Linked DNA regions of Stegostoma tigrinum. The protein of the gene in region 1 interacts with the protein of each later gene in a pairwise test. Links are inferred from orthologs where the notes say so. Each region holds a gene or a part of one and is shown on either strand. Other genes may lie near its edges.

The links.
Region 2: the proteins of top1a (region 1) and BTB/POZ domain-containing protein 1-like interact in a two-hybrid assay, tested with the Homo sapiens proteins (2 studies listed by BioGRID). The link is inferred for Stegostoma tigrinum from reciprocal best matches to the Homo sapiens genes TOP1 and BTBD1.
Region 3: the proteins of top1a (region 1) and BTB/POZ domain-containing protein 2-like interact in a two-hybrid assay, tested with the Homo sapiens proteins (2 studies listed by BioGRID). The link is inferred for Stegostoma tigrinum from reciprocal best matches to the Homo sapiens genes TOP1 and BTBD2.

Annotation. Positions count from the first base shown.
Region 1 is NC_081372.1:14,188,870-14,200,150, forward strand, and holds the start of top1a (DNA topoisomerase I, like), read right to left. Parts: upstream 4,092-11,281; 5' UTR 3,966-4,091; coding exon 3,942-3,965; intron 3,738-3,941; coding exon 3,713-3,737; intron 1-3,712. UniProt on the Homo sapiens protein: Releases the supercoiling and torsional tension of DNA introduced during the DNA replication and transcription by transiently cleaving and rejoining one strand of the DNA duplex.
Region 2 is NC_081386.1:35,809,851-35,820,833, reverse strand, and holds the start of BTB/POZ domain-containing protein 1-like, read right to left. Parts: upstream 5,319-10,983; 5' UTR 4,849-5,318; coding exon 4,484-4,848; intron 1,376-4,483; coding exon 1,219-1,375; intron 402-1,218; coding exon 296-401; intron 1-295.
Region 3 is NC_081383.1:17,876,101-17,886,658, forward strand, and holds the start of BTB/POZ domain-containing protein 2-like, read right to left. Parts: upstream 4,089-10,558; 5' UTR 3,891-4,088; coding exon 3,415-3,890; intron 1-3,414.

The DNA.
Region 1 (11,281 bases):
AATGGACAGTGACCCCCAGCCATTTGGAAATTGTACATGTGCAGTGACTGCGTTATGATGATGATTTAGCAGCCCAGGCTTGTGAAGCAAGAACAAACATTTAGGGATGGTAGCAGAAGAATCACAGAATCCCTACAGTGTTATCTCACACCACCCTTCCTAGTAGGGTCACTGGTATCATGTTACAGCAAGACTCACTGATTTAAAGACAACTGAAAAAACCCTTATGATATGTTACTTCACTCTTTAGTACAGTTTCCAAGTTGACAGCCTGGTAGGAGCTGTAAAAAGCCAACAAGGTAGAATCTCACTGATCTTTGGCCTTTGCTCCATTAAGTGAGCCAAACCAGTACAATTCCAAATATTATAGCCAATATTATTTCCCCTAGATAACAAGGTGGAGAGCTGGATGAACACAGCGGGCCAAGCAGCACAGGAGCAGGAAGGCTGCCGTTTCGGGCCTAGACCCTTCTTCAGAAATGGGGGAGCAGGTTCTGAAATAAACAGGGAGAGAGGCAGAGGCGGATAGAAGATGATAGAGGAGGAGATAGGTGGAGAGGAGACAAACAGGTCAAAGAGGTGGGGATGGAGTCAAAGGTGAGTGTCGATGGGGAGGAGATAGGTCAGACCAGGGAGGACGGACAGGTCAAGGGGGCAGGATGAGATTAGTAGGTAAGAGATGGGGGTGGGGCTTGAGGTGGGACGAGGGGATAGGTGGGACGAAGGACAGGTTAGGGAGGCGGGGACGAGGGTGAGCTGGGCTGGTTTTGGGATGTGGTAGGGGGAGGGGGAGATTTAAGTTTGTGAAGTCCACATTGACACCATTGGGCTGCAGGGTTCCCAAGCAGAATAGGAGTTGCTGTTCCTGCAACCTTCGGGTAGCATCATTGTGGCACTGCACGAGGCCCAGGATGGACATGTCGTCTGAGGAATGGGAGGGAGGAGTTCAAGTGGTTCGCAACTGGAAGGTTTATTGCGAACTGAGCATAGGTGTTCTGCAAAGTGGTCCCCAAGCCTCCGCTTGGTTTCCCCGATGTAGAGGAGGCAACAACGGGAACAGCCCCTAAGCTGAATTTGAATAGATTTCACAGATTATCTAGTGATTCCAATTGGGATGATATTCTAGTCAGATCAGTTTTTGCTGTGCACTACCCATGAATCCAGGCTCATTTACAAAGAGTGGCCACTGGAGTGTAAATCCCCAATACCCATGAAATCACAACTTAACATGAGACTGTAACTCAAAGGAAGGAGAGTTGTACTTTAAGGGCTTTCAAGTCCGAGAAAAGTTAGTTGCAATAGACTATGCAGAATTCTGTGCTTTCCACCTGTTGACCATGAATACTACCAGTGACGTGGGCTCTAGGAAAAAAGAAATCAAGAATGCAGAAGAATGATTGGAAGGTTACCAGATAAAGGAACCACATGGCCTCAGCTTTTGCAATGATTTTGTCACTGCAGATCACTGGTCAGTGAAGAAAACATGAGAGGAATTTCAGCTGAAAGCCAGAAATATTAGTCTACCACATTAGTTATGGTAAAGACAGAATGGATACAGAACAGACAAAATTCATCCCACAGCAGGTGCTCAGCTTGGAAGAGAGTTCAGAGTTCCTGCTTCTGATCTCCCTAATGTGCCCAAATTTGCCTTCAAGGAAGGAATGAACATGCCTTGCTCAACGTACCTGGCTGAATAGTTGTATAAAATACCAAAAAGCATCAGAAATATGGAGCCATATTATGAGTTACTGCTTTGACAAAAGAAAAATTGCAAACAATCTTAACCGGTACCCTATGTAACAGCCATTCAAATTCAGTGATATTTGCATTCAGACAAGCAGCTTCTCAAATCACACCTTGTTCTTCAAATGAAATCTGGAGTAAAATCCAATTCATCACCAAGACACAGCACCTCAATGAGCAGAATCAAACTTTAAATGTTTCTTTCTGAAAGAGTTCTAGTTTTATTCTTTATCAATATCCTACAGCAGTATAACTTGCCAAGGAAAAATCCAACAGCATTCCACTGTCCATTCATTTTAAATACTCAGTTTCTTCAACTAAACTCAATTCTCTATTACTGCACCTCCCCAAAACCTCACTTCCTTCTTCAAGCATTCAATCATGTGTGCTAGCACAGCAGCTTGTCATTTAACAGAATGGCTTCAACATGCTGAAAAATTAAAACACAGTTGCTATTGGGCAATTTGAATCTTAAAAGGGAAGATGTCATACTTCAATGCACATTTCATAGATCCTTTTATGCTTCAAAATGATAATGCAAAGTCCAACTGACTTTGTAAATCATTCTGAATGCCAAAGAATAGTATATTGAAAAAGGGTATTTCAACAAATGTTAAGATCCTTCAAATTACATATATGTTTCCATTTTTTTGCATCCTGCATCATCCTTGATCTCATTAGAACTGCAATCTTTCAAAACTGAAAACTTTTAACTGGATCAATATCTTAAATCATCACACATTAGTACAATAATTTTAAGCCTCACACAGAAAGGATCTCGATTGCATATCTGTAGATGAGCTGCAAGATGGAATATAATTGATCACAAAGCTATTTAAAAATACCCTCTCCCCATGAACCAACCCAGCAATGCCCTGTAAGTCTGAGTAGACTTTGGGAAAGACTAGTGCTTTTTTTGGGGAAAGGAAACAACTTAAAAGGGTATGGAAAATTTTCTGAAACAATGTCACCACTGCACAGAACAATCATGACAATGCTTACAATCTCTTATTTGAAGACATGACAATCATTATCCCAGCACCGATTCTTTTTCAAAAGGTTAAGCAGATAACCCCTATTTTCCTTAGTAAAAAAAAGCTTCCAGAAGTATCGAAAACCTCAAACTAGATAAAAAAATTCAACGCAAATCGAGAAAGTCTTTTTTTAAAAAACCTAGGGGCAGGCAAGAGAGGGGGGAAAAAAACCATGCAATGCAAACTTAAAAAAAGGGAATCTTACAAAATACTGCTTTTAAAAAATATATAAAAATACATCATAACCTTCACGGTGCTGCCACCATGTGAGTAGAGGCATTGCTGCTCCATCACCCCCCCCCCATATAAAAAAGGCATAAAATGCAAACTGCATTGAAAAAAACAAGTTGCAATTTCTGCCGCCATCCCTTTTGTGTGTCTTCTAGACCCCCCACCTCTCAGAATTCTAAACCTTTCTTCCTCGTTCCTCCTGCCTTCTTATTTAAATGCCCGGCACATTGCTGTCGGTGTGTTTTATATATTTAAAAAAAAAGAGAAGGGAGCCTCGCTCTTAACAACATGCACGAAGCAACTGACACACACACAGTCAGAAAAAATAAAATGGCGCAGAGACTAAGTCCTAACGGCCGAAAAGCCGGCTTTTCGCTCGCGATGCCGGCCCGGCCGAAACCCCCAACAGCCCTCGGGCAGCCTCACGCCAGACTCTGGGTGTAGTGGAGGCGGTCGGCGGGGGAAAGGGCTCGCTGGGGAGCCGGCAAGGCGGTTATTTTGGAGGCTGATTTGAACAATAGGGCTTGTGGGCACGTAGACGGGACTTAGTCTCTGGACGCCATGTCTGATCCTCTTGTTCTTCCCTCAGAGAGAAAACAGGAGGAGAGGGAAAGGTCGAGGGAGGTGGTGGTCGAGGGAGGGGGGGGGTAATGAGGGGGTAACGAACAAATTAAATAAAAGCAATTTTCACCTCAAATACTCACCGTTCAAGCGGGAATCCGTATTGAGCTGTGAACACAAGAAAAAAAGGGGAAAAATCCACGTTAGTACTTTGCTTCCTTACAATCAAAAGGGCCACGAACCATCAAAGTGAGAGACAGATGAATTTTTTTCACAAGTTTCAAGTCATCAAATATATGTTTTTTTGGGGGGGGGGAAATAAAAGACACGGGGTTTTATAAAACGCACGGTCTGGAAGGTCGTTCCACCTACCTGGGAGAGGTGATCAACGCTCATTGTTGGAGGATGTTTCTTTTCTGATTATTCTATAGGGTTTTTTTGTGGAGTTAGTGAGGAGTTGAGTTCTATACACACCAAAGACCTGCTCAGATTGAACTGCTCCAACCCCCTGTACAACGTCTAAGTCCCAGTTTCGACGTACTGCGCATGCACTTGGATTTAACTTAGAGGCGAATTTACATTTCAATTGCCTTGCCCTCACAATTGGTGGCTTCAGCTGCACCAAAGAGCTGATTTAAATAGCACAGACACGCCTCCCTCTTTGCCCAAACTCTCCCCAACCCATCCAACCAGCCCCCTGAGCACCCTCCCTGGGGGCATCAGACTCCTTCCTCCCAGGAAGAGAGGGGATAAACTTTACTCTTGCTTTGTAGTTGTTGGAAAGTTAAGGCAATTCCTCTCAACAGAAGCTGAACAGACATACGCACACACCCTTCCTGTTCCACATCCAACCCCAGACTTCACCCAAAGGACACACCTTCCCCCCACCCCTTTCAAAAACTCAGTGGACCATCAACTATAGAAAAGTTAGCACAGCAACAACTCTCATCAAGCCAAATGATGTCACAGTGGTTTCTTCTGATGTCAGGGCTTCACGATCAGAGCAGCAGGTTAAGTTACTCCAAGCTTTTGCAACAACTTATTTCATGTGGCACCTTTGAATTAGTAAATAGTCCAAAGGCACTTTGCAGGGGTGTTATCATGCAGAAGGAATGGACACAAGCCAAACAACAGCGACTTGAGTTTCTGTGGCACCTTTGGAAAGCATTCCAGAGCCTTATACAACGATGTTTGCAAACCAAGTTTGACGCTATGCCCACTTAATGTGGACAGCTGATCAAAAGTTTAGCCACATCCCAAGGTTTTAAGGAATGTCTTGCAAGAGGAGAGGAAGAGACAGACACCATTTGCCAGAGAATTCTAGACCTTCAGCCCTAGACAGCCAAACAGACTGAATTAACTCCACAGAGGCCGGTATCTCATCACCAAGTTGCTCTTTATTTACACATGCATGGTATTTCAAACTGGTCCGGATTCCACAGAACCAGCTGTCAGAGTGAACAGAACCTCTGATGCTCCTGTTTGTAGCTGTCAGCCAGGGCTCCCTGACTGGAGCAGATTAAAAGCACCAGATAGGGAACTCATATTCTAGGAAGTCCGCCTGGCTGACCTAATTTCAATATAACATCCAACTCCTACATCAAATCTAAATCCGGGAAAGGAGGCAGGCTCTTTTTCTTGTACCCTGCACTGGGGTGTTTTCCTACAGAGTCCAGTTCCTCTGACTCAGCATCAGATACGGGCAGTGTGCTCCAGGTCATAGCTCGCCTATTGCACCCAGGGTGTCAGGTGGTAAAGGCATCGAGGCTGCAACGTCCACCATGTCCGTCTCAGACTCCAAGACTTCTTCAAGGCTAGATTTAGACGGAGAGCCCACAGGTCCAGACAGCCTTTCTGGCTACTCTGAGGTGCTGGTTATTTTTTGCTGACCTATTTGTGCGTTTGTAGCTTTATTGATGACCACATGCTTGTTCAGGACCACCTCACCTACTTGAACTTTGTGTGTCACGGGACCAGACCTTGCATTGGCCATGCCTCTTACCCATGCAGGGTCATTTCTGTGAATCTTACATCGAACTTTATCCCCTGAAGTAAGCTGTCTCTTACCGAGGGGAGTCTTGTGTCCAGCCATTTCTCCCCCACCCCTGCCATGCCCCAAGTCTTGGAATATCAGGTTTAACCCGGTGTGGAGTTTCCTCCCTGTTAGCAACTCTGCTGGACCTATCCCTGTAGTTGCATGAGGGACGTGGTCTGATAATCAAGTAGGAACCAGAACATTTTGGTATCGAGTGAAGATGTAAGCTGTTCCTTGAAGTCTTCCATTAGAGTTTAGACTGCTCTTTCTGCCAGACTATTGGATGATGGCTGGCATGGAGCTACTCTTATATGCCGAATGCCATTCAACTTTAGGAAGTACTTATATAGTCATAGGGTCATACAACACGGAAACAGATCCTTCAATCTGACCAGTCTATGCCAACCATGATCCCAAACTAAACTAGTTCCACCTCCTTGCACTTGTCCCATATTCCTCCAAACATTTCCTAATTACATACTTACCAAAATGTGTTTTAAACCTTGTAACTGTACTCGCGTCCACCACTTCCTCTGGAAGCCCATTGGACATATGAAGTACTTCCTGTAAAAAAAAAATGCCCCCATGTCTTTTTTTAAGTTTTTCTTCCCTCAATTTAAAATTATGGCCCCTGGTCTTGAGATCCCACGTCCTAGTGAAAAGACACCTGCCATTCGACTTATCTATACCCCTCATAATTTTATGAACCTCAATAAGGTTGCACTTCAACCTCATAAATCCCAGTGAAAAAAGCCCCAGCTTATCCAACTTCCCCTCATAACTCAAACTTTCCATTCCCGGTAACATTCTGGTAAATCTCTTCTTAACCCCCCCCTATTTAATAATATCCTTCCTGTAACAGGGTGACCAGAACTGGATACAATACTCAAGAAGAAGCCTCACCAACATTCTGTACAACCTCAACATAACATCCAACTATGTAATAATTTATGGATCTAAGCAAGGACCTAAGCTCCAGTACAGATGTGCAAGCCGGACCGCCTTTGATTACCCTCGTAGTATCTACCAAGGGTGTAACCCGGTTTTGTCAGTAGCCCAAATAGGTCACTTAGAGTGTCTAGAATACAAATTTTTTCCTTCTAAGGCATTTGGGCACCTGGGAGAAATTTGTAGCAATATGTCCAAATTCTTTTTAAGTACTCTTTATTGGTCTTCCCAGTTATTAGCACATCATCCAGATAATTGGCGACTTGGAGTAGACTTTGTAAAATGTTCTCCATTCTCTACTGAAAAATAGTGCAGGCTGAAGGTACGCCAAATCTTGTATATCAGTACAAACCCTTATGGGTATTAATTGTAGCATATGTCTGGGAATTCTCATCTAACCGCAATTGTAAGTTTGCACAGTTCTTGCCCAGCTTTGTTAAGGACAGCTTCCAGCCAGTTTGGAATATAAGTCCTCTATGTGACGGATTGGGTATTAATTCAGTGCAAGAAGCAGTTTACTGTTTGTTTAAAATCTCCACAAGGTGCACTGATCCATTGGGCTTCATAATCGGTACTACCGGTGCTGCCCATTCTGCAAACTGTACTGGTTTGATGATTCCTTCACTTTCCAGCCTCATGATTTCTGCCTCTACTTTTGCCCGTAAGACAATTAGCATTGGGTGTGCCTGCAGAATCATGGAATTGTTTCCTGGTCAAAATATAAGGTGGCCTTGACTCCTTTGATAGTCTCTGGACGTCCCTGAAAAACTTCCAAGTATTTAATTAGGGCTTCAATCAGGCAGCCATTTTCCAATCCAAAAATGTTGAGCCAACCAAGGTGAATCTTCCTCAACCAATTTCTCCCCATCAGGCTTCGGACTGAGCCTTTTACTATAATCATTGTTAACTGAGCTAGTTGCTTCCCATATGGGACTGGAACTGAAATTGTACCTTAATATGTAAAGATTCCCTGGTGTAGGTTCTCAGTCCAGTCGAGATCTTATGCAAATTTAAGGGTCCAGAGCAAATTTTGTCAAAGACTAGTTCTGCAATCACTGATACAGCTGCACCGATATGAACCTCCATTAAAACCGGTTGACTTCTTAACCAGACGTTTATTTTGATTGGTTCTGATTTGGATGTTGCTAAGCAATTTAACTGTTCCAAATCCGATGAAGGTGGACTTTCCAGGGTGTGCACATTCTTGGCTATTGGCCGATGAGTTCTTTTACTCAATTCAGGCCTCATGACACTTCTTTCTGTGCTACTGTTCATATATAATCCTGTGTAAGGTTCTTGGGAAATAGAACCTTGTAAACGTACTGCATTGGGCAACGTGCATCAAAATAGCAAAAGCAACATGCTATTGGTTGGGCTAAATGATTCCCCAATCAATGGGCCAAATCAAAACATTTCAATTCTGCCAAATCGAATTAAGATTGGTGGTAGGAAATTAAACAACTACTTGGAGAAGAAGTCTCCATAAATATCTCTGTCCTTAATAATTGGGGAGCACAGATTCAAAGAGAAGGCTGAGGATTTTGCAACCATTTTCAGTGAGAAGAGCTAATGGGTTGACTATGTTGGATTCCTTTTGAGGTTTCCAAGATCATAAAAGTCAACCTTCAGCCAATTTGTATCATGTCACATGGTATCAAGAAATAGCTGAACAGACTGGACACAGCAAGGTTGTGAATTTTTTAAAAAATCCTGCCTTTAGAGCTGAAGACCTGTGCCCCAAAACTAGTTACAATCCTAACCAAGCTGTTCCAATACAACTACAACATCAGCACTTAGTCAGCAATGTGGAATATTGTCCAATACATCCAGTTATGTAAGATGATTCTGAAGCAGTTAATGTTAAAGCTGCAGCAAGCAGCATCCAATCCAATGATGTCAAGCAGTCTTTAGGTGGAGACAAAAAGCCTGAAATGAGGTCCCGATGGAGATAGGTGTGTCAACTCTGGCTCCTGATACTTTTTGTAATTATGCCTAACAGCGTAATATAACTTGGAACCTATTGCTCTCATGCAATAAACTACACCTTGACTTGTAAGACGAATTTCTTATTAAGATTAAATAGTGGCTTGTTGTCTGCCACTCAGATAGCCCTTGTGGCATAGTGGTAATGTTCTGATGTCTGAGCTAGGAAAATTAGGTTCAAGTCCCAACCTAGTCCAGAGATGTGAAATAATATCTTTGAGCAGATTGATATTTGAAGCAAAGTATAGGAGGAAATAAAGAGACTCATTCTGCAGTGCATCACCACCCCATAACACTATTTTGATATTCTGATTCTATCAACAAGTTTCTGTCAACAACTTGATTTTGCTCCTGTTACAATGCCCCAGCATGGGCTGCTTAACCTGTTATAACCTTTTTTTCAGAAAGGAACAGAAAGAGAGATTGGTGGTTACTAGCTAGTAACTAGTGGTCAGTACCACAACTTGTAACTTCATAATCAGAAGTGGGATCATTGCATAACTACCTCAAGGTGACAATGGGGAAATAAGTCTTTTTGACCAAGGAGAAAAGATTTTCAGAAGATAAGTCTGCTTATCACTTTGAGAATATGTTGCTTCAAGAGCAGTTAGGCAGTCAGTTATCATACCTCACTGAAGTAGTGAAGTGGAATTTAAGCTATTCCTGGGGTTTTACCAAAGTTTAAAATTTTATTAAAAAATGTAAAATTCCCTAAATTACCTGTCTCTTTAGACATGGGTTAACAATTGACCAGATTTCTATATTTAAGAATTACAATTTATTGCAAATAAAAAGGTTCGAGCTATAGGTAAACAACTATGAACTCTTAATATGTCACTTTACTGGTCAAAACTCTTATTCTCTTATAAACACCCCATACACGTACTTGCAGACTGACAAAATAAAATTGGTGTTACAGAAACATAGAAACTAGGAGTAGGAATAGACCATTTGGCCTCTTGAGCCTATTCTACAATTGAAATATGATCATTGTTGATCCCTTAACTCGAAGAAATATTTCCATTTTCTTTCCAAATCCTTTGATGCCTCTAATATCTAAAAATCTGTTTTTTTGGATATGTTCAGTGACCTGGCCTCCACAGCCTTCTCTGGAAGTGAATTCCACAGATTTACCACCCTTGGGGGAAGAAGAGTCTCCTCATCTCAAACCTATATGTGCCATTGAAGCAAAGTATAGGAGGAAATAAAGAGAGTCATTCTGCAGTGCATCACCACCCCATAACACTATTTTGATATTCTGATTCTATCAACATACTTCCCCTGGTTTCTGGCTCCCCAGTTAAGGGAAACACACTCCCTGCATCTAGTTTGTCTAGCCTTGTTAGAATTTTATACTTTTCAATCAGCTCCCCTCATATCCTTCTAAACTCTACTGAATAAAGGCTTCATCAATCCAATCTGTCCTCCTATGGCAGTCCAAAAACAACCACAGTTTTCAGTCTAGTGAACATTTGCAGCCTTCCTTCTTTGGCATATATATCCTTGCTTAGGTAGGGAGTCCGAAAACTGCACCCAATACTCCAAATGTGGTCTTACTAAGATCCTGTTTAACTGCAGGAAGACATCCCTATTTCTGAACTCAAATCCTCTTGCAATAAAGGTTGATATACTATTTACCATGATAATTGCTTGCTGATCCTGCTTGCTTACTTTCATTGGTTAATGTACAAGGACTCCCGGATCCTTTTATAATCCATATTTCCCAATATATCATGATTTACATAATACTTTGCCCTTCTATTTTTCACACTGAAGTGCATAATCTCACATTTAACCATATAGTACTGCATTTGATTTGTGTTTGCTCATTCATTCAATCTGTCCAGATTAACCAGATCCTCCTCATCTCTCAACCCTGCATAGTTTTGTCTCAACAGCAAACTTAGAAATATTGCATTTGGTTCTGTCATCCAAGTTGCTCGTATATATTGTGTACAGCTGGGGCCCAACCACAGATTCTTGCAGTATACCACTTGTCAGCACATGTTGCCCAGAAAAAGACCCATTTGCTCCCACTGTTGTGTTTCCCGTCTGTCAATCTCTTCATTCTCCAATCTTTCCCAGTGGACTCCACACAACAATATTATTGATTCATTCATCCACATTGCACAATATCCAGTCTAGGTTAACCTGCTCTCTAGTTGGCTCCTCAACATGTTGGTCGAAAAGAACATCATGCATACACTCCAGGAATATTACTATTAATTTGGTTTGTCCAATCTTTATGTCAATTAAAGTGACACGTAATTAAAATGTACATTGATCACATGAAATCAGCATTGCTGCTTTCATCTCCAATTCTGCTTGAAGGCTGATAGACAAACATTTTCTTCCCTGAGGTGATTCTTAAGAAGGACCTGACAGGCAACATTTTCATACAGAGGACGGTGCATGTACGGATTGAACTGCCATAGGAGTGGTAGTTGCAGGTTCAGTTGCAACATTTAAAAGACATTTGAACAGGTACATGAAAAGAAAAATTTTAGAGGCACTAGTTTAGTTTTGGAGTATGGTTGGCATGGACTAGTTGGACCGATTTGTGCTGTATGTCTCTGACTCCATGTCTGGGGAACTGGTTGATAATTTTGTTAATGAGCACTGCAGCTTAATGAATAAACAAAACTATGGAGCTTTGAAATCAGAATTCATAAGGGTCAGAATCGTTGTTGGCATTAATTGAGGAGTCTTTGTTAAATTTATTGTAGTTCAAAGAAGATTTGACTTT
Region 2 (10,983 bases), on another chromosome or scaffold:
ATGGGGAAAGAGAGAGATGCAATTACATGTGTCAGGCCAAATCTCATACAATAATTATCACTCAACAGCTCACCCTGCTGATGATTTTTGTCTTTCTAAACACCTAACCACGAAGTAAAGAACCTGATGTTGATAAAAGTTCCCCATACAGACCATGCCCAGTAACACTTCTACAATATCAGAATATTCTGATACACTGGATAACCTGTCCAATTTATTATTTGGACTGTAACACCATCTCAAAACAAACTGAACAACAAACTCTCTGAATGAACCATCGATAGCTCAAACTCACCGAGATCGATATCAGTGAAGCCCTCGGCACTGATTGCATCCACAGTGTTTTTGTCAATTGTGTCCAAGCATAGGCTGGCCAGCTGAGGCTCATCAAACAAGCGTGCCTGAAACCATTTCAAAAATGTGTAAAATGAGGAGAATGAAACGCACATGTCCAAACTAATCATCACGCGATGGAACAAACGCTGGAGAGAAACTCCTGAGTAACAAATTCTAATTATAAAAGCTAACCGCCTCAAACTTGCAGCAGTGAGAGGGATGGTATTGGGAAGTGAACAGGCTGCCAGCACCGTGGGTAAAAACAGATATTGAACTGGAGACAGGCACATCAGGCATCAGGATTACTCATTCAAAGGCAAACACAGCTTTCACCACAAAACAGCTACTGACTGTGCGAGTGCAGAGCATATGGCTAAAGATAATTTAATTCTCACCATTATTCAGATTGGAAGCAGCATCCCTGGATTTGTTTCCCTCTCCCTTGTGCACTGGTCAAAGGATTAAAAAGACCATTCTATGTGCAGAGATCGACATGTTCATTGGTCATTTTAGGACTTGACAGAATAGATGCAAAGGATTGTTTCCCTCATTGGGAGTGTCTTGGTCCAGAGGGCATAATATCAGAATAAGGGGTCACCCATTTTAGACCATTGAGGATGAATTTCTTCTCTCAGAGGGTAATGAATCTATGGAATTCTTTATTCCAGAGGGCTTAATGATGCAATCATTAAACATATTTAAGGGTGAGGCAGAGAATTTTATTCAGCAAGGGAATCAAGGGTCTGGGCAAAAGGCAGGAGAGTGGAGGTAAGGATTATCAGATCAGCCACAATCTCACTAATTGGCAGAGCAAACTCAACATGCTGAATGGCTTATTTCTGCTCCTGTATCTTATTGTGCCTAGCCATAATAAAAAATCACCTGAGTTAGTAACATGAAAGCATTGTCAGCTCGCAGGTGTTTGGTGAGAAACTCCACACAATGGGCTTCCAAGGCTGGTACTGCATATTTCTTTGCTGTGTATAGAGTCGTCATCACAGTCTCAGGACCAATTTGTACTTCATCAGAATACAGAAACCTGCATAAAAACAATACAAATTCATTGAAAAACAGCACAGAAAGGTAAAGGAGAATAATCCATGGTTGACCGCAATCGACAAATTCAGCTATCCTAAAATGCAAAACCCATTTCTCCACTGCTTATTGACAAGACTCTTCACATTTAAGATTTCTTGGAGGTCTTCAGTTTTGAACAATTGCAGAAAAAAATCTGATTGTGAGAAAATACCTGGAACAATTTATTTAAATAAAAGAGATTGTTGAAAGGTCACTGTGAAGAGTGCTGATTTTTAAAACGAAAAAAGGCTTACCAAAAATTACATAACAGATGATCACTTTTGTCTGTAAATTCTGCTGGGGTTACTGGAACAGTGACTGGATGGAGTGTACTTTCATCCTGAATTAGTTGGTGGACACTTCCTAAAATGTGGGATTAGCATAGATAGGTTGGCACCGACTCAACAGGTTGAAGTGCCTCTTCTGTGCTGTATGAATGTAAGACGAGAGATTTGGGAGGAAGCTGATTCCTCCTATTTCTGAAAAATCTCTTGTTGATTTCCGGGAAAAACCTATTTGTCCTCCTGAAAAAGAGTGATTGAAGGGACTTCTCAATATTGAATGTCCTGAGCAAGTGTGTCAGAGACAACTGTGCATGATTTGACTCTCAGTGACAACAATTTACATATAACACACATAAAAGAATCTCTACCATAACGTGGATAGATGCGCAGAGAAATAATTTTCATTGTTATCAGGCTTCTCAAAACTTCAGGGCATCCCAAACTTCCTCTCTACAAAGGTTCTGTCACTGCTAGACATGTAGGAAAATGGTCACCAAATATACACATAAGTTCATACAAATGAACACTTGCAAATTCGAGAGAGTCTACTTTTGTTGTTGTCGAGGGACAAATTTTGGCCTGGACACCAGCGACTGATAATACCCATCCTTTGAATCGTGTACATCTTCTTCAGATGACAGATGGTAGCTCCAGTGTGCCACACCTCCCCTAAATTACTAACCCTACTGTGTACCCTACAGCCTCCCCCACAATCAATTCAGCACTGGTCCTCCAATAGTACTGTTCACTCAGTACTGACACCCAGTACCCCCAAACAGGACTGGGACATATACCACATTCTCCTACAAACACAAATACTGCTTCATCTGCCAGGATCCCTGCAAGTATTACACTCCTTTTCCTTAATTTTACAAACCACAGTAAACTACATTTTCTATATCTTTTTTCTGATGAAGGGTCTAGGCCCGAAACGTCAGCTTTTGTGCTCCTAAGATGCTGCTTGGCCTGCTGTGTTCATTCAGCTCCACACTTTGTTATTTCTTATTTCTACCTCACCTAGACTTGTTTGAAATGGAGAAGACAAAATATCCCCATTCACACGTATCTGATTCACCCTCAATAGAACTTTCTCCCACTTTGTCTTTTGGAGTTCAGAGACAGATTGTAAACAATCTCCAAAAGGTTATGAACCTGAATACGCAAATGCTTGGATTTTTTTGTTTTAAAAGGGGAACTATTTGCACGTCATTTTAAAGCTCACTATCTTATTCCAGCCAGACTTAATATACAAAAGCCTCCTTTAAATACTGGGTTTCCAACTGCAGCTGTTCATAATCTCTCTACCCTCATTAACCAACAAACACAATCATCCTCACCATTACCAGGATTTGCAAATCAACTGTATTAATTTTGACAATCACTCACAGAGAATCATAAAATACAGGATGAGGCTATTTGGCTCATTAGAAATGCAAGTCTCACTAATTTATGTGTACTTTCCTCAAAGACTTGAAAATTCTGTCTTCACGCATCTAAACAATTCAGCCTTAAACCATCTCCATCTTCAATCTGAGATAATGGGAACTGCAGATGCTGGAGATTCCAAGATAATAAAATGTGAGGCTGGATGAACACAGCAGGCCAAGCAGCATCTCAGGAGATGCTGCTTGGCCTGCTGTGTTCATCCAGCCTCACATTTTATTATCCATCTTCAATCTTTTTCGTTATTAAATGAACAAACTGCTCCAAGAAAAATTGAAAAAATATTTTTGCTACAACCACAAAGATTTTTCTGCAGGGCTTCTTGGAACAATATTCTGTAGGTTAAACTTTAATTGCCAAAGATTCCAGCACAATGTGGGAGAGTTTGCTAAACGGTTTGTTTGACCTTCAGTCGTGTCCCTTTCTCCATTCTGTACGTGGCTTTGAAACTATCATAAAAAGTTATTACGTAGTGAAAACAAAAATTGCAGAATGTCTAGTCACTGCTAAATGTACTGGATCTACCCAAGTGCAAACACTCTCTAACAGAACAATTAAACCACACCATCCTTTCAGAAAAACACCTTGGAACATAATGTTAATAATTCAAAGGGTGAACATTGAAATTAGACTGAGCAATGCAATCAACACGGGAATTTGTTGAGACAATAATATCCCAAAGAAGTGAATCCTGCCCCCAGTCTGAACACAGCATGTAATGTTTCACCTGCAATAACAGCGAAGGTTTAGCCATATTAAAATAAAATTCTGAGCCACACTGAAGCTGTAACGAGACTTTTGTATTTGTGTAGGCGCCGCGGTATTAATAACATTAGTGTGAGGAATATTCACTGATTAACAATAAGAGACGGGGCACCGCCAGGGCCGCAGTTCATCTTCATGACACTCCGGTTTAATCAGTAAAAATAAGTAAATTATGGACGATGCCCCTCTCTTTGTTTACTGTTAATAATTATTGAATAAGAAAATAAATGAATAATTTATTTTTAAAGCAGTCACACTAACCAGAGGCAGTTTTAATGAGAAATCCCATCAATCTGCGAGGAGACCTGGCGCCTGCGATACTCAGATTGTTATAAATGTTAAAGGACAACAAACTGTCTGCATTTAGGGACACTCGCGTCAATAATTCTATTAATAAACAAACTGCACCCAGCTGTCATTTCATCTTTACACAGAAACAGTGATGTTATTTATAATAAATAATATAGTCCTCCGTTAGGAATATTCTTGGCATCGACGCAATCCGTCAGCGAGAATCGCAGTTGTTATCAAGTATTTATTTGTAGGCCGCAGCCCCGGGCTCGAGTAGCTCCCCTCACCTGAGCAGCGCCAGGAAGGCGGCGGGTTCGACGTCAGGCAGCTCGATCTCCGCCGAGCTGGTGGCCATGCCGCCGTTAAACATGGCGTCGAAGACGGCGCTGCCGACGGCGAGGACGAAGCGGTGAGCGGGAAAGCGGCGGGCGCCGGGACCTTTGCCGACCGCGAAATGGACGTCGCTCAGCAGCTCGTTGTTGAACATGAAGGAAAAGCGCTCCCGCACCGAGCGCTGTGCTGCCTGCCAGTTATACAGCGGCGGGGCCGGGAACTGGGCCCGAGGCCCCGGGCCCACCGCCCGAGCACCGCTCTCTCCCGGCCTGAACCGCGTCCTCGCCGCCGCCGTGTCCTCACCCTCCGCCTCAGCCATTTTCACAGCGCAGCCCGGGGTGGGGCCACGGCTAAGACCCGCACCAAACACCCAGACACAGACCCACACACACCCCCCTAAATGCAGACCCACGCACTCACTGACACACACCCCCAGACACAGACCCACACACTCAGTGACACACACCGGCCCACACACACTCCCCTAAATGCAGACCCACATTCGCACTGACACCCCCAGACACAGACCCACACACTCAGTGACACACACCCTCAGACACAGGCCCACACACACTCCCCTAAATGCAGACCCACGCACTTACTGACACCCCCAGACACAGACCCACACACTCACTTACACACACCCCCAGACACAGACACGCGCTCACTGACATACACCCCCAGACACAGACCCACATTCTCACTGACACACCCTCAGACACAGACCCACACACTCACTGACACACACCCCCAGACGCAGAGCCACGCACTCACTGACATGCACCCCCAGACACAGACCCACGCACTCACTGACATGCACCCCCAGACACATCCCACACACACCCCCCAACACAGACCCACACGCTCACTGACACACACCCCCGGACACAGACCCACACGCTCACTGACACACACCCCCAGACGCAGACCCACAAACTCACTGACATGCACCCCCCAGACACATCCCACACACACCCCCAGACACAGACCCACGCACTCACTGACATGCACCCCCAGACACATCCCACACACACCCCCCAACACAGACCCACACGCTCACTGACACACCCCCAGACGCAGACCCACACACTCACTGACACACACCCAGATGCAGACCCACACACACCACCAGACGCAGACCCACACACTCACTGACACACACGCCCAGATGCAGACCTACACACACACACCCCCAGACGCAGACCCACACACTCACTGACACACCCCCAGATGTGCGCACACACACACGCACTCTCACTGACGCAGACCCCCAGACACACACCCACACACACTCACTGACACACACCCCCAGATGCACATCCCCATACACTGACACACACCCTCAGATGCAGACCCTTACATACACTGTGACACACAGACCCAGAATGACATACACACTGACACAGACACACCCCTGCACAAAACCCACACATACTCCCAGACACACACACACACATCCCAGAAACAGACTTATATACATCCAGACACTGACATGTAAACAGAGTCCCAGGTACATATAGAAACCCACACGCACACACCGAGACAGACATCCGTACACACTCTCAGACACTGACACTGACACACACTGGCATTGACCCAGACAAAGAGCTACACAGACACTCAAGATACAGATCACACCCAGGCGCATGCAGTCAGGCACTGACACACAAATATTCACACAGACAGACACCCAGACACATGCAGACGGACATGTAAATACACACAGAAACTGACACACAGGAACCAACATACACAAGCCCACACATAAACATGCACAGTCAAATAAATCCAGACACATACACACACACAGATAATGGGAACTGCAGATGCTGGAGAATCCGAGATAATAAAATGTGAGGCTGGATGAACACAGCAGGCCAAGCAGCATCTCAGGAGCACAAAAGCTGACGTTTCGGGGCCTAGACCCTTCATCAGAGAGGGGGATGGGGAGAGGGAACTGGAATAAATAGGGAGAGAGGGGGAGGCGGACCGAAGATGGAGAGTAAAGAAGATAGGTGGAGAGGGTGTAGGTGGGGAGGTAGGGAGGGGATAGGTCAGTCCAGGGAAGACGGACAGGTCAAGGAGGTGGGATGAGGTTAGTAGGTAGATGGGAGTGCGGCTTGGGGTGGGAGGAAGGGATGGGTGAGAGGAAGAACAGGTTAGGGAGGCAGAGACAGGTTGGACTGGTTTTGGGATGCAGTGGGTGGAGGGGAAGAGCTGGGCTGGTTGTGTGGTGCAGTGGGGGGAGGGGACGAACTGGGCTGGTTTAGGGATGCGGTGGGGGAAGGGGAGATTTTGAAACTGGTGAAGTCCACATTGATACCATTAGGCTGCAGGGTTCCCAGGCGGAATATGAGTTGCTGTTCCTGCAACCTTCGGGTGGCATCATTGTGGCACTGCAGGAAGCCCATGATGGACATGTCATCTAAAGAATGGGAGGGGGAGTGGAAATGGTTTGCGACTGGGAGGTGCAGTTGTTTATTGCGAACTGAGCGGAGGTGTTCTGCAAAGTGGTCCCCAAGCCTCCTCCAGCCTCACATTTTATTATCAGAGATGTTACGAAGTGCCTTTGGAACAGCTGGAACTGGAACCTGGTTCTCCTGGCTCTGCACTACCACTGTACCACAACAGCTCATCCTCTCCATACCACCCTGTCAAGACCTCTCAAGATTTTGTATGATTCCATCAATTGACCTCTTCTAAATTCCAGATACAAGCCTAGCCCGTCCGAACTTTCCTCATAAAACAACCATCCCACTGCCGGTATAATCTCGAAAACCTTCCCTGAACTGCCTCCAACTTGTATGCATGAAGACAGCCTCAACCGTGATCTTAGGACTTTGGCTCTCAATGTGACCCCACCATACTGTTCTATATCTGTAAGATCTTCCTAGCTGTCCTGTTTTGACACCATCATATTGATAAATTGTTGTCATCCCTCTATCTTAATTAGTTTGTACAGTTTTGGATCACGTATTACTTTGGTTAGACCCCCAGCGTGCGATTCATAGCTATCGTTATTCCAGTCATTTGGTTTGTCTCCAGCACCGCCTTATTTTAAATTTTTTGTAATTATCTCTCTATCTTATTTAAACAGATTATGAATCATCCCTTGTTATTCAGGTGTTGCCACTTTACTCACACCATTTGATACTTTTGATCATGTACAGAGACTTATTATTCCAAATATGCATCACACCATTTGTATGATCTTTTGACCTCACTACTTATGAATTGTGTCTCTGTGTGCATCTCTCTCACTTCACCTGATGAAGGGGCTATGCTCTGAAAACTTGTGATCCCAAATAAACCTATTGGACTATAAACTGGTGTCATTTGAATTCTGCCACAGTCTTCCACACGACTGAAATGAGGAAGAATTTCTTCAGCCAGAGGGTGGAGACTTTGAGGAACTCATGGCTGCAGAAGTCTGTAGAGGCCAAATATTCGAGTGTATATAAGAGATAGATAGGTTCTTGCTTGGTAAGGGGATCAAGGATTAATAGAACATAGAACATTACAGCACAGTACAGGCCCTTTGGCCCTCGATGTTGTGCCGACCTGTCATACCGATCTCAAGCCCATCTAACCTACACTATTCCATGTACATCCATATGCTTATCCAAATACGACTTAAATGTACCTAAAGTTGGCAAATCTACTACCGTTGCAGGCAAAGCATTCCATTCCCTTACTACTCTCTGAGTAAAGAAACTACCCCTGACATCTGTCCTATATCTTTCACCCCTCAATTTAAAGCTATGCCCCCTCGTGCTCGCCGTCACCATACTACGAAAAAGGCTCTCCCTATCCACCCTATCTAACCCTCTGATTATTTTATATGTTTCTATTAAGTCACCTCTCAACCTTCTTCTCTCTAACTAAAACAGCCTCAAGTCCCTCAGCCTTTCCTCGTAAGATCTTCCCTCCATACCAGGCAACATCTCCTCTGCACCCTTTCCAAAGCTTCCACATCCTTCTTATAATGCGGTGACCAGAACTGTACGCAATACTCCAAGTGCAGCCGCACCAGAGTTTTGTACAGCATCACCATAACCTCTTGGTTCCGGAACTCGATCCCTCTATTAATAAAAGCTAAAACACTGTATGTCTTCTTAACAGCCCTTTCAACTTGGGTGGAAACTTTCAAGGATCTGTGTACATGGACACCGTGATCTCTCTGCTCACCTACACTACTAAGAATCTTACCATTAGCCCAGTACTTTGCCTTCCGGTTACTCCTACCAAAGTGCATCACCTCACACTTGTCTGCATTAAACTCCATTTGCGACCTCTCAGCCCAGCTCTGCAGCTTATCTATGTCTCTCTGCAACCTACAGCATCCTTCATCACTATCCACAACTCCACCAACCTTAGTGTCGTCTGCAAATTTACTAACCCATCCTTCTACGCCCTCATCCAGGTCATTTATAAAAATGACAAACAGCAGTGGACCCAACACCGACCCTTGCGGTACACCACTAGTAACAGGTCTCCTGGACGAACATTTCCCATCAACTACCACCCTGTCTTCTTTCAGCAAGCCAATTTCCGATCCAAACTGTTATATCTCCCACAATCTCATTCCTCCACATTTTGTACAATAGCTTATTGTGGGGAACCTTATCAAATGCCTTGCTGAAATCCATATACACCACATCAACCGGTTTACTCTCATCTACCTGTTTGGTCACCTTCTCAAAGAACAAAGATTATGGGGTGAAGGCAGGAGAATGGGATTGAGAAACATATCAGTTATGATCGAATGAATCCAGATTTGTATTATTATCAAGGAATAACGTTGTAATAGTCGAGGATTTTAATTTTCCAAACATTGACTGGGACTGCCATAGTATTAAAGATTTGGGTAATGAAGAATTTGTTAACTGTGCTCAAGAATAGTTTACTTATGAATAGGTAAGTATTCCTACTAGAGAAGGAGCAAAATTTCAGCTTCCCTTAGGAAATAAGGCAGGGCAAATGACTGAAGTGCCCAGGGGGAACACATTGGGACAAGGGATCGTAATACTATTAGTTTTAACATAATTATGGAAAAGGATAAGTCTTTCATAAGGGTTAAAGTTCTTAATTGGATAAGGAAAACTTTAAGGGTATAAAAGAAAAAGTTGCAAAAGTTCATTTGAGTAGATTGTTCACAGATAAAAGGACAAGTGGAAGGCCTTGAAGAGTGATAATGACAGTTCAGAGGCATTACATTCTTTTAGATTGAAAAGGAAGCTGGCAAGATTAGGGAATAAAAGACGAATAAAGATATTGAGTTTCTATTCAAGATATAGACAACTTGGATCCCTTGAAGCGAGGGGCATTCTTAAGGAAATCGGGAAGACAAAAACAGGATATGAGATAACCTTGGCAGATAAGATTAAGGATAATTTTTAAAAATTCAACAAATACATTGAGAGCAAGAGAGCAATTAGGGAGACTAAGATCAATGAAGTTGCCTCAGAAGATAGGAGAGATATTAAATGAATATTTTGTGACAGTTTTTTACTGTTGAGAAAAAAATGGAGGCTAGAGAATTCAAGGAAATAATTATTGATGTTTTGAAAACAGTTCACATTGACAGAATAGGAAGTGCTGGAAGTCTTAGATAACATAAAGGTAGATAAATTTCCAGAACCTGATCTATTGTATACCCGCACATTGTGGGAAGTTAGGGAGGAAATTGTTGGGCCCCTAGCAGAAGTATTTGTATCATCTGTAAAAGTGAGTGAGATGCCAGAGGACTGGAGGGTGGTTAATGTTGTGCCATTGTTTAAAAAAGGCTGCAAGGGGATGTCTGGAAACTATAGACTAGTTGAGGCTGATGGTGGTGGGTAGGTTGTTGGAGGTTATTCTGAAAGATAGGATTTACATGATTTTGGAGAGATAATGATTGATTAGAGATAGTCAGCATGGTTTTATGCCAAGAGAATTGTGTCTCACAATTGATTGAGTTTTTTAACAAAGTAACCAAGAAGATTGATGGCAGCAGATTCGGTAGACAATGTTTACTTGGAATTTAGTAAAGCCTTTGACAAAGTTCCAAATGGTAGACTAATTAGTAAAATTAGATCACTTGGGATTCAGGGTGAGCTTGCCAATTGGATACAAAACTGGGATTTCAGTCAGAGGCAGAGGGTGGTGGTGGACAATTATTTCTCAAACTGGAGCCCTGTGATCTGTGGTGTTCCACAGGGATCAGTACTGTGTCCACTTTTGTTTGCCATTTATATATATGAATTAGATGAGAATGTAGGAGGCATGGTTAGTAAGTTTGCAGATGACACCAGATATGGTGTAGTTGACAGTAACAAAGGTTATCTAAAATTACTGGGAGATCTTGATCAATTGGGTCAATAGGCTGAGGATTGGCAGATGGAGTTCAATTTGGATAAATGCAAGGTATTACATTTTGATAACACACATAAGGACAGGACTTAAGCAATTTACT
Region 3 (10,558 bases), on another chromosome or scaffold:
ACATAGTACCAAATATTTTTAGGAAGCTGGACAGGATAAATGCTAAGAGAATGTTTCCAGACAGCATAGTCTCAGAATAAAGGGGCATTGGTTGAAGACTAACTGGAGGAAGAATTTCTTCTGAGGGTTTAGGCTCTTTGGAACTCCTTGCCACGAAGAGTTGTGGGAGCAGAATCCTTGGAACATATTTCAGGATGAGATAGATAGATTCTTGATCACTAGTGGAATCAGGAGCATAGGCAGGAAAGTGGACATGAGGAATGTTAGAACAGACATGATCTTACTAAATGTTGGAGCAGGCTCAAGGAGCCAAGTGGGCTACTTCTATTTCTGTAGCCCTCATTCAATGTTGGGAGAAAAAAAAAACAAATCTAACAAAACAAGATCCAACAAAATCCAATCGTCTTGGTTTTGTTTAATCCTAGTTGAGGGAGATCGGAGCCAAGTGAGATAGCTGCTGGAGAAAACAATCCATATAAACAGGAACAGGGTGGTGAGATGAAAACTTTGAATATGATTAATTAAGTATTTGCTGCAGCTAAGTTTAGTATAAACAGTTTTACTATTAGCAATAGCTGCTCAACTTACAGGCTTGTTTTGTATACTGATAAGTTTGCACCAGAACAAATATTGTTTGACTTGCATCCAAGATCATCACTTTGTAGCTTTAAATATGAATACGGTTCTTTTAACGAGAAGACCAAGCCAAAAACTGGAATCGTACTGCAGATGATAGACTAGAAGTTGCCTGATCTGAGAATGCTGGAATAAAGGAGTTACATGTTATAAATCAAAAATGGCTCATCCACTTGAAAAAAGGACCACTGAATTTAAAGTCTACCATCTTTCAAAGAATCTTTACATTTCATAAAAAAGATGTACCACGTGTGTTTTTTGCTGAATCTAACAACCACATGGAACAATAAACGAAGATATGAATTTGCTGGGCAGAGGTGTTCTATATGTACCACAATCAAAGCCAACTTAGTTTACAATAAAAAAAGACACAAAATTTCAAGGCCTTTGCAGAAAATTCCCACGCATTCCACAAGGATTAAAGAAAAAAGTGTCACCATAGTCTGATTGGGCTGTCAGTTTGATCTCTCATCAGAGATACACATCTGCAGGCGATTTAACCAGAGGGTCACCATGCCTCAGGTAAGGGGAGAAGTTGAGAAGGACAGTCCTTCAAAGTAACCTCAGCAAGTGTAAGGGTTGAGCCAGTGCAACTGATATCACATCATCGCAAACCAACTGTCTGAGCTAACAAACTCTTAAAACAGTGGTTTGATGGGTAAATGTGCTATGTAGTGATGAGCTACACTGAAGAGAAACTACTTAATTGCTAGGATAAAAATGGAAGTTGCCGGAAAAGCTCAGCAGGTCTGGCAACATCTGTGAAAAAAAAATCAGAGTTAACGTTTTGGGTCCAGTTACCCTTCCTCGGAACTCAACTGCTGATCTGAGCTGAATTCTGTCAGAACAGTGACTAGATTAATAGTAGTCATCAAATAATAGCTGCATAGACACTGGGTGAAAATAAAATGTTTTTTACATTTTCACCCAATCAGGCCTAATCTAATTCACAACTGGAAACAGGAGCTTATGCTGTGCCCCGACGAGGATAGTGCTCACATGAATTATATCCTGGTGTACGTCACCGCTTTCCGAACAAGAGGGCAGAACATTGTGGTTGACCAAGAACTCACTTGTAACTTCAAAGCATTCTTTTATTTCTCCTAACAGGGATCAGTTATACAAATATGGTTACAATTTTAAGAATAATGCCACAAAATCCGCAAGGAAGCCAGAGCAGGTAAAAACGGTAGAAGGAAGTGACCCATTCAGGACTTTTCCAATGGTGTCACACTCACCTGAACGAGTCTGGATTTCAACTCAAGTGAAATTTAATTTCCACCAGTTGCTGTAGACTGAAACAAGTTCCCCAGAGCATTAGTTACCACCATGCTACCATCTCCCATGTATTGTTAAGTGATTAGAAAATGAAAAAGTCACAGGGGTTCTTTTTCAGGTTAACCGCTGCCCTCCTCTCCCTTCACTGGTTAGGATGCATTATCTGGCATTTCAGTTCCAGCTGACTATTTAATAGTACACTACTAGAAAGCGTGCATCAACATTAGGCAAGATCAGGTTCAACTGCAGAACAACCTAGCAACACAATGCCACAGCTCAGACAAAAAAAATTACATGTATTACATACAAGCCCTCATGTGATTAATGCCACCATTCCAGCACCACAGACAACAGATATTGTAAAAATAACTTTGAAAGCCTGGGACCAAATAACCAATGGTTTAAGCAAGAAAGCTGTACAGATTTGATAGTCCAAAATGTCACTTTTCAAAGACAGTAAGGGCTCTATAATGTCAAGTTGTGCATCATTGCACAATATCTCACTTGATGATGCGCACCAACAGCGAGAAAAAAAAAGACTGTAAAACTCACATGTTTGGCAAGAGTTATGATGTGCATTTTGTATCAGCTGCGTTAAAAACAGGCAGCTTAAACAGACTTGTCACCTAAAATTTGTGAGCTACAACTTAAAGGGTGAGGGGGGGGTTAACAGAAATCTGGAAGCAATTAGATTTTTAATTCCAAATATTAATGCATCAGTGGAAAAACAACTGGGTGGGGCAATAAGCAGAAATCTCTGCCCCCTTTAAAATAAAAAAAATGTTGCTGACACTTGCTAAAATCCAAGCGTAAAGCAGATATTGAGCTTTTCACAGGAATGTAGTTTGATTAGTCTTCTGACTGAAGAGGTGCAAAAGCTTTCAATACTCTGCGGTGCATTAGCCATCTTGCCTTCATTCTGTCGGCGTAATGAGCACTGAAAATGAGACCCTTTCAAGGTCCACAAACCAAAAACGAAATACCCAGACGTACAGCTGCATCATAGGCGCAAAACATAACCTCGTCTCCCCGAAAACCCGAAAGCGATGCGATGCGATGCAATTTTAGTACCTTACAAAGGACAAGTCTGTCTTAAGCTAGTCCCCATTTACTCAAGAAGGCATCACCACCAACTGGATCAGCGCAGCTGCAACCTTCCGCTGACTATGAATGAAGCCCCGAGGCTACAAAAGTCCAGCCTCCCCCACCGCAAAACACCAACAAAAAGGGCGTGAACCATCTTATAAAAACTCAGACTGCGCCTTCCCGACTGCGAGTTTAAACATAATACTTTGATAACATCTTTAAACACGCGGGGAGGGAAACGCCGTAAATATGCCGGGGGGGGGGGGGGCAATAAAAGAAAATAAAATAAGACTTCTCCAGTACTAAAGGACGGGCCGGCATCCGTCTTGGAGCGGAGAAGATCTAGATAGGCCTCAAACCACGGCGTAAGTTTGATGAATAACCGCCCCTCCCCTCCCCTCAGGCCGCACTCACTTAAGGAGGGCAAGGAAGGCGGCGGGCTCGACGTCGGGCAGCTCGATCTCGGTGGAGGTGGTGGCCATGCCGCCGTTGAACATGGCGTCGAAGACGGCGCTGCCGACGGCCAACACGAAGCGGTGAGCGGGGATCCGCTGCGTCCCCATCCCCTTGCCCACCAGGAAGTGCACGTCGCTCAGGATCTCGTTGTTGAACAGGAAGGCGAAGCGCTCCTTCACCGTCGTCTTGGTGGCCTGCCAGTTGTACATGGGCTCCCGGCAAATGACTACAGCCGCGGCCGCCGCTGCTGCTGCTGCCGCCGCCGCCGCCGATCCTCCACCTCCTCCCGGCCCGACCCCGCCGGACAGCGAGGAAGGCGGCGAGGAGCTGGTGCCCAAGCTCGGGCTGCCCGATCCACCGCCACCACCTCCGCCGCCGCCATTAGGGATGTTGACTCGGTTACAGGCGCTGAGGTTGCTCCCTCCCGCCGCCATCTTGAAGTGGCATCTGTTTACAAACAGCAGCTGCTGAGAGCATGGCCCTCCTTAAAGCCAGATCAAAGTCCCCACTTAATACAACTCCCTCCTCTGGAATATTTCTCCAGTTTAATCACAAACATAAATACATATGTCCCCTTAAAAAAAACTAACCCCATCTCCTTTTGCTAAAATTAGCACTTGTAAATCCACTGGTACTCAACAATTCTATACTGGTTGCTGTTATTACAGCATCCCTATCATTTCTCTGTTATCTATGCCCCTTTTAATTACAAATAATGATTTATTAATCTTATTCACCATATTAATATACGGGATGATAAATAACTTTGCCCCCCCCACCTTAATTATTAATTGTAAATCCACTGGTAGTCAATAATTCTATTCTTGTTCCTGTTGTTACAGTTTTTTCTATACATCTCTCGATTAGGTGTGCCCTTTTAATTACAAATAATAAATAACTAACCATATTTATCATGTCAATATGTAGGATGATAAATGACTTCAGCCCCATTTACTGAAATCATTACTTGTAAATCTATTGATACTCAATAATTCCATTCTCATTGCTGTCAGCACAACCTCCCTCCAATCTCTCCATTATCTCTGCCCTTTTCAATCACAAATAAAGAATAATTAACCATATTTATTATTTTAGAATGTGCAATGATAAATGATTTTGGTCCCTTTGCTGAAATTATCATTTATCCACTGATATTCTTTTCTATTAGGTAAACAACACTCGTGTATCTACTTCTGTTATGTCTGTTCTTTTCAATAAAAAATAAATATTATGAGCCATATTTATCTATTCAAAAGTTGAAAGTTCCCTCAACTCCATCTACCGAAATTATTGCTTATAACTCCACTAGTGTTCTGTTTAACTCGATTCTGATTCAACTCTAACATCATGTCTATCAACTGCATTCCATTTAAGTATAAATAATCATAAATCTTTATCATTTTAATATACAGGATAAATAAGTGAGCTCACAGCTCCCTTCTTATGAAATCATAATATGTAAATCCACTGGTGGTCGATTTAATAAATGCAAAAAATTGCAGATCCTGGAAATCTGAAATAAAACACAAAGTGCTGAAGGAACTCACCAGGTCTCGCAGCATCCATCAAGGAACAATCAGAGTTAACAAGTTGAGTTGGAAGAAGACTCATACTGGACATGAAATGTTAACTCTGTTTCTCTCTTCACTGATGCAGCCATTCAATGTAATTTACTTCGTGTGATAGGATATTCACAGTAAAAAGGCAAAATTAATGGGTCTGAAACATACAAAGTATGCAGCACAAAATAATTGAATTAATGACACAAATAGTGGTTAATGGTTATGACTTTATAGCCATTATGGGCACATGGTTACAAAGAGATTTATGCTGATGTCTAAATATTCAGGGGCTTGTGACCTTTTGAAAAGACAGAGAGACAAGTATGGGTGGTGGGCTAGCTTTGTTATTACAAAACAGAACACTAGCTGTTTTGTAGCACAAAGAATAAATCAGGAGATGATGAGTCCATGTAAAAAGAGGCAGGGCATTAATCATGGGTGACTTTAATCTTCATCTTCTCTCAATCTTCATGTAGATTGGGAAAATTGAATTGGCGGAGTAGCCATGATAGCAACTATGTGTGATAGTTTTCTGGAACAATAGGTTGTGTTCATTGAGACAATAACATGCAGTCTAGATAAAGGGGAACCAGTTGTTACATTTTGGATTTTGAAAGAGCGTTCACTAAGGTATCATACATAGGGCCACTTAATAAGGTAAGAACCCGTGGTGGTGGGGCTAGTGTATTAGCAGGGATAGTAGATTGGTTAACTAACCGATAAGACAGTTGTGATCGAGAGGACATTTTCAGGATGGCAACCTGTAAGAAGTAGAGTGCGGCAGGGTTCAGTTCTGGGGCTACAATTATTTACAATATATTAATGACTTGGATGATGCTAGTGATTGTACTATACCCAAGTTTGCAGATGACATAAAAGTAGGTGAGAAGGCAAGTGGTGAGATATGCAGGGATTTAGACAAGGTAAATGAATGAGCAAAAACTTATTAGATGGAATATAATTTGGGAAGAAATGAGATTATGCACATTGGCAGGACAAATAGAAGAAGTGAATATCATTTAAATGGAGATAGACTGCAGATAGCTGAACAACTTAGGGATGTGGGAGTCCCAGTGCATGAATAAGAAGAAGCTAGCACCCAAGTACAGTGGATAATAGGGAAGGCAATAGGGCAGCACAGTGGCTCAGTGGTTAGCACTGCTGCCTCACAGCGCCAGGGACCTGGGTTTGATTCTAGCCCGAAGCAATTGCCTGTGCAAGGTTTGCACATTCTCCCTGTATCTGCATGGGTTTCTGCCAGCTTCCTGTCACAGTCCAAAGATGTGCAGGTTAGGTGGATTAGCCATGCTAAATTTGGCCCATGCTGTCCAGGAGTGTGCAAGCTGGGTGGATTACCCATGGGAAATGCAGAGTTACAGGGATATGGTGGGAGGCTGGGTTTGTGTGGTTTGGAAGGTCAGTGTGAACTTGATGGGCTGATCTGTCTCTTTCTGTGATGTAAAGATTCTGTCATTCAAATGGAATGTTGCCCCACTCAGGATGAATTAAATATAAAAACAGGGAGTGTTTGCTAAAATTATAAAAGGGACTAGCCAGACCACAGACCTGTGGAATACAATGAACAGTTTTGGTCCCTTTATCCAAGGAAAAATATGTTGGCATCAGAGACAGTCCAGAGGAGGTTTACTAGCTTGACCCTGGGTATGAAAAAATTTTCTTGTGAGGGTAGGTTGAGTAGGTTGGGCTTGTGTTCATTGGAATTTAGAAGAATGAAAGGAGACTTTACTGAAATGTTTAAGATTCTTAGGGGATGAGATAGGGTCGCTGCAGACAGTTTGTGTTCACTTGTGAGAATGTCTAGGACAAGAAAGGCATTATCTCAGCGTAAGGTGTGCCCATTTAAGACAGAGAAAATGAGGAATTATTTTTCTCTCAACTTACCAGAGAGGGCTGTCAAGGCTGAATTGTTTAATTTAATCAAGGCTGAGATAACCAGATTTTTAATCCCATGATCTAACTGAATGGTGGAATGGACTCAATTGACTGAATGACCTACTCATTTTTCTTAGGGTCTTATCCAATATTAAGCATGGTATTTTTACTGAAGTTCTCAGGTGTGTTTGATTACATGTGGTACACATTGGACTAGCCAAGTGAAAATTGGAAATCAACAGGAAGTTCCACAAACCAGAAAAAAAATGAAACTGAGGCTATCAGTTTCCAAGTTTGTCTTTCCCTGCATTGCAGACTCAATTTTTCACTGGGAGGTTATCCATTTAATTGAAACACTTCAATGGATGACAGGCTTTCCCTGCAATGTTAGCTTTTAGTGCAACCGGCTGAGGATCAGAAAACCTGGCATCAGCTCTTTTACAACTGCCTGTGGCCATTAGCGGAAAGGAAAAATGTAGTAATTAATCACAGTATAGGAGTGGGAGTGGCCATTTAGTCCTGTCCTGTAATTTAATAAAATCATGGCTGATCTGTGAACTAACTGTAAATGCTCAATTTTAATCTATACCCCTGAATAGTTTGTGGTTAACAAATTTCTGCTAGGCGGTTTAATATCTTGATCTATCTAATATCTTGTTTAAATTTAACAAATGCTTAACCTTCAATTGCCATGTAAAATTGACCATCCAATGTGCAATAGTTTCTTCAGCCTGCCCCTTCCTTATGTGCGTCTGTTAATAGACCCTATCTCATGTTTGAAGACCTCTGTAGATTCTGTGCTTAATGATCCCATTGTGTACATCTTCTACATATAAAGGTTAGGGAGGATAGTCTAACCCAATCGCTGAATTGCACCTTACGTCTCTCATCCAGCTACAAAAATGGCACATGCCAGGTATTGTAAATATAAAATCTTGTGCACATGATACACAATTACATTTTCTTTGTTGGGATAGTTTCAGCAGAGGTCAAACATTGTTATGATTTCATTTCTCATATCTCTATGTATGAACATTGTGGCCACGTCATATTCTAGCTTAAAAATGCTGATATAAACATTCCTGTCCTCACAAGTGTCAGCCATTGTTGTCATATTAACACTGCACACTGACAGACTTTAATTTTCAACACTATGTCGTGTAAAATCTGTACTTTTTAACATTTGTTCTCGGCACGTGGATGTTTGCTCTGCCAATTCACATGGTAATGGCGATGGTGGGAAGTTGTGAGGTTCTGCTGTAGCGACCAACTTCGGTGAAAGACACAAAAAGAGACAATCAGACGTCCTGTCAATATTAAAGCAAGAGTTTGGAAAACACTGTGGAAATTCTACCATGGAAGGGTCGAGAGACTAGTACATAGAGCATAATGAAGCAGTTGAGGTTTTCTATTGATCAGTTTCTGATGTCAGTCCAGTAATCATTGACTTAATTAATACAAAAACAGAAGCTGCTGGAAAAGCTCAGCAGGTCTGGCAGTATCTGTGATGGGAAATCAGAGTTAATGTTTTGGGTCCGGTGACCCTTCCTCAGAACACTGGACCCAAGCTAATTTTGATTTCTCTCCACTGATGCTGCCAGACATGCTGAGCTTTTCCAGGAACTGATTTAGAGCATCCGTAGTTCTTTTGGGTTTTATAAACTTAGTTGAATTCAATTATATGGTTTGAAATAGGACTTGAAGTCACTACCTGTGAGTTAGTAGGTCAGTTTCACTATCACTACACTACAGAACCTGTTAGTGTTTTATATTGAATATATGTTGTGGACATGATATGAGCTGAGGAAAGCAGACATTATTTTCCTTTTTTAAAAAAATACTGTACATTTTAAAAATGCATTATCTTTTTTTAACTAACCTGCTTAATTTTAGATCATTGATCTGTTCAGGTAAACCATCCAGTAATTTAGTTTGTGCTAGTCTTTGAGTTCTTTTAACTCAATGTCTTACGCAGCTATTTAGCTGCTTCCAAAGTGTTAAAGAAGCATTGTTCAGAATTCATGATGACTAATTAGAAGAAACTAATCAGAGATAACTAATTCAAATTGGAAAATATGCCAAATGCAAAATTTCTCACACATATTACTTTAAATATGATATAAAAGGTTACAAAAAGGTATCAATGTTTCTTTTGTTAAAAAGATCGACATCATCTAATCTTACAACAAAATTACGAGGCACTCCTATTTTAAAAGTTTTTCCAGACTGAGAGACGCAGAATCATACAGTCTTAAAGGCCTAATTTATCTTGGCTCAGTGCCCAGGTCTAGTAAGAATGTAAACGGTCAGCGCGGCCTGGCTTTTTTTGCCCCAATGTGACTACGCAGAAAAGAAAATTGCTGTTTAGAATGGACACTAGATGGAGCAGGAGTTCTAGTTTTGGGGAAATGTATATTTTTTGACTGGAGAGCCCCATTTCTGGAGAAGGGTGCTGACCCAAAACGTCAGCTTTCCTGCCCCTCTGATGCTGCCTGACCTGCTGTGCTTGTCCAACTTCACATTGTGTTATCTGTGACCCCAGCATTGGTAGTTCTTACTATCGCTGAGTGAGTTATAACCCCACTGTGAAGCCTCTTCTAGGGACGCCTACCTTGAAGAGGTTATCCTCCTCCCTCCTGAAAGACTTCAGTGAATCTCTCTCCCATTGCAACCCTCTGGTAATCTCTGAAATTGCTTGGCCACATACTGCAGCCACATCGCCTTTCTCAGTACCTGCCTACAGAACCAGATCAGCCCCAGGGGACTCCAGTCTACATTGGGGCCATCCCAATTTGGCCCTGACCGTGACAACCTCAACATACACAAAATCCAGACCCTCCAAAAACGGGTTTTCTCTGTGGCTCCTGAAGCACACGCTCTTAGCAATGCGCCAGCATCTTCTGGCCCTACTATCAAGCCTACCCTAGCTCAGAGCCTCCCTCTCCCAGACTTGCAAAGCACCTCTCCTGTTTTTCATTCTTTGCAACCTCAACCAATGCTTTTACTCTGCCCTAGCCCCATTTCTGAAGAAAGGTCCCAACCTGAAACGTCAAATTGCCTGCTCCTCTGATGTTGCCTGGCCTGCCGTGTTGCTGCAGCTCCACGCTGTGTTATCTCTATTTTCTGACCCCATACTGTATTTAAAAGTGACAAGTGCTGCATTTCCTGGAGCTACTTTTTAAAAAAACATTATAATATTAGCACCTTTAAAAGTTTTATGTTCATATACATTTCCTGATAAATAGGATATACATCAAAGGCTGTCTGGATGGATTGATCTATTGGACAGACCTATCCAAATTGTTTTCATTCATTCTTGGGATCTGGGCATTGTTGCCTGGGCTAGCATTTATTGCCTATCTCTAGATGGCCTTGAGAAAGTAGTGGCAAGCCTTGAACCTTTGTAGCCCATTTAGTGTAGGTGTACTTGTGGTGTTGTTACGCAGTGTCTTCCAGAAGTTTGACCCAATGATGTTGAAGGAATAGGGATATGTTTCCAAGTCAGGATGGCAAGCGGTTTGGAAGGGAGTTTGCCAGTATTCTCTTGTCCTTTTGAATGGTAGTGCTCTGTGTTTGGAAAGTGCCATTTAAGGAGCCTTAATGAATAGCAGGATTAGTTACTGTATCTGAGATTGGGCGTACCTATT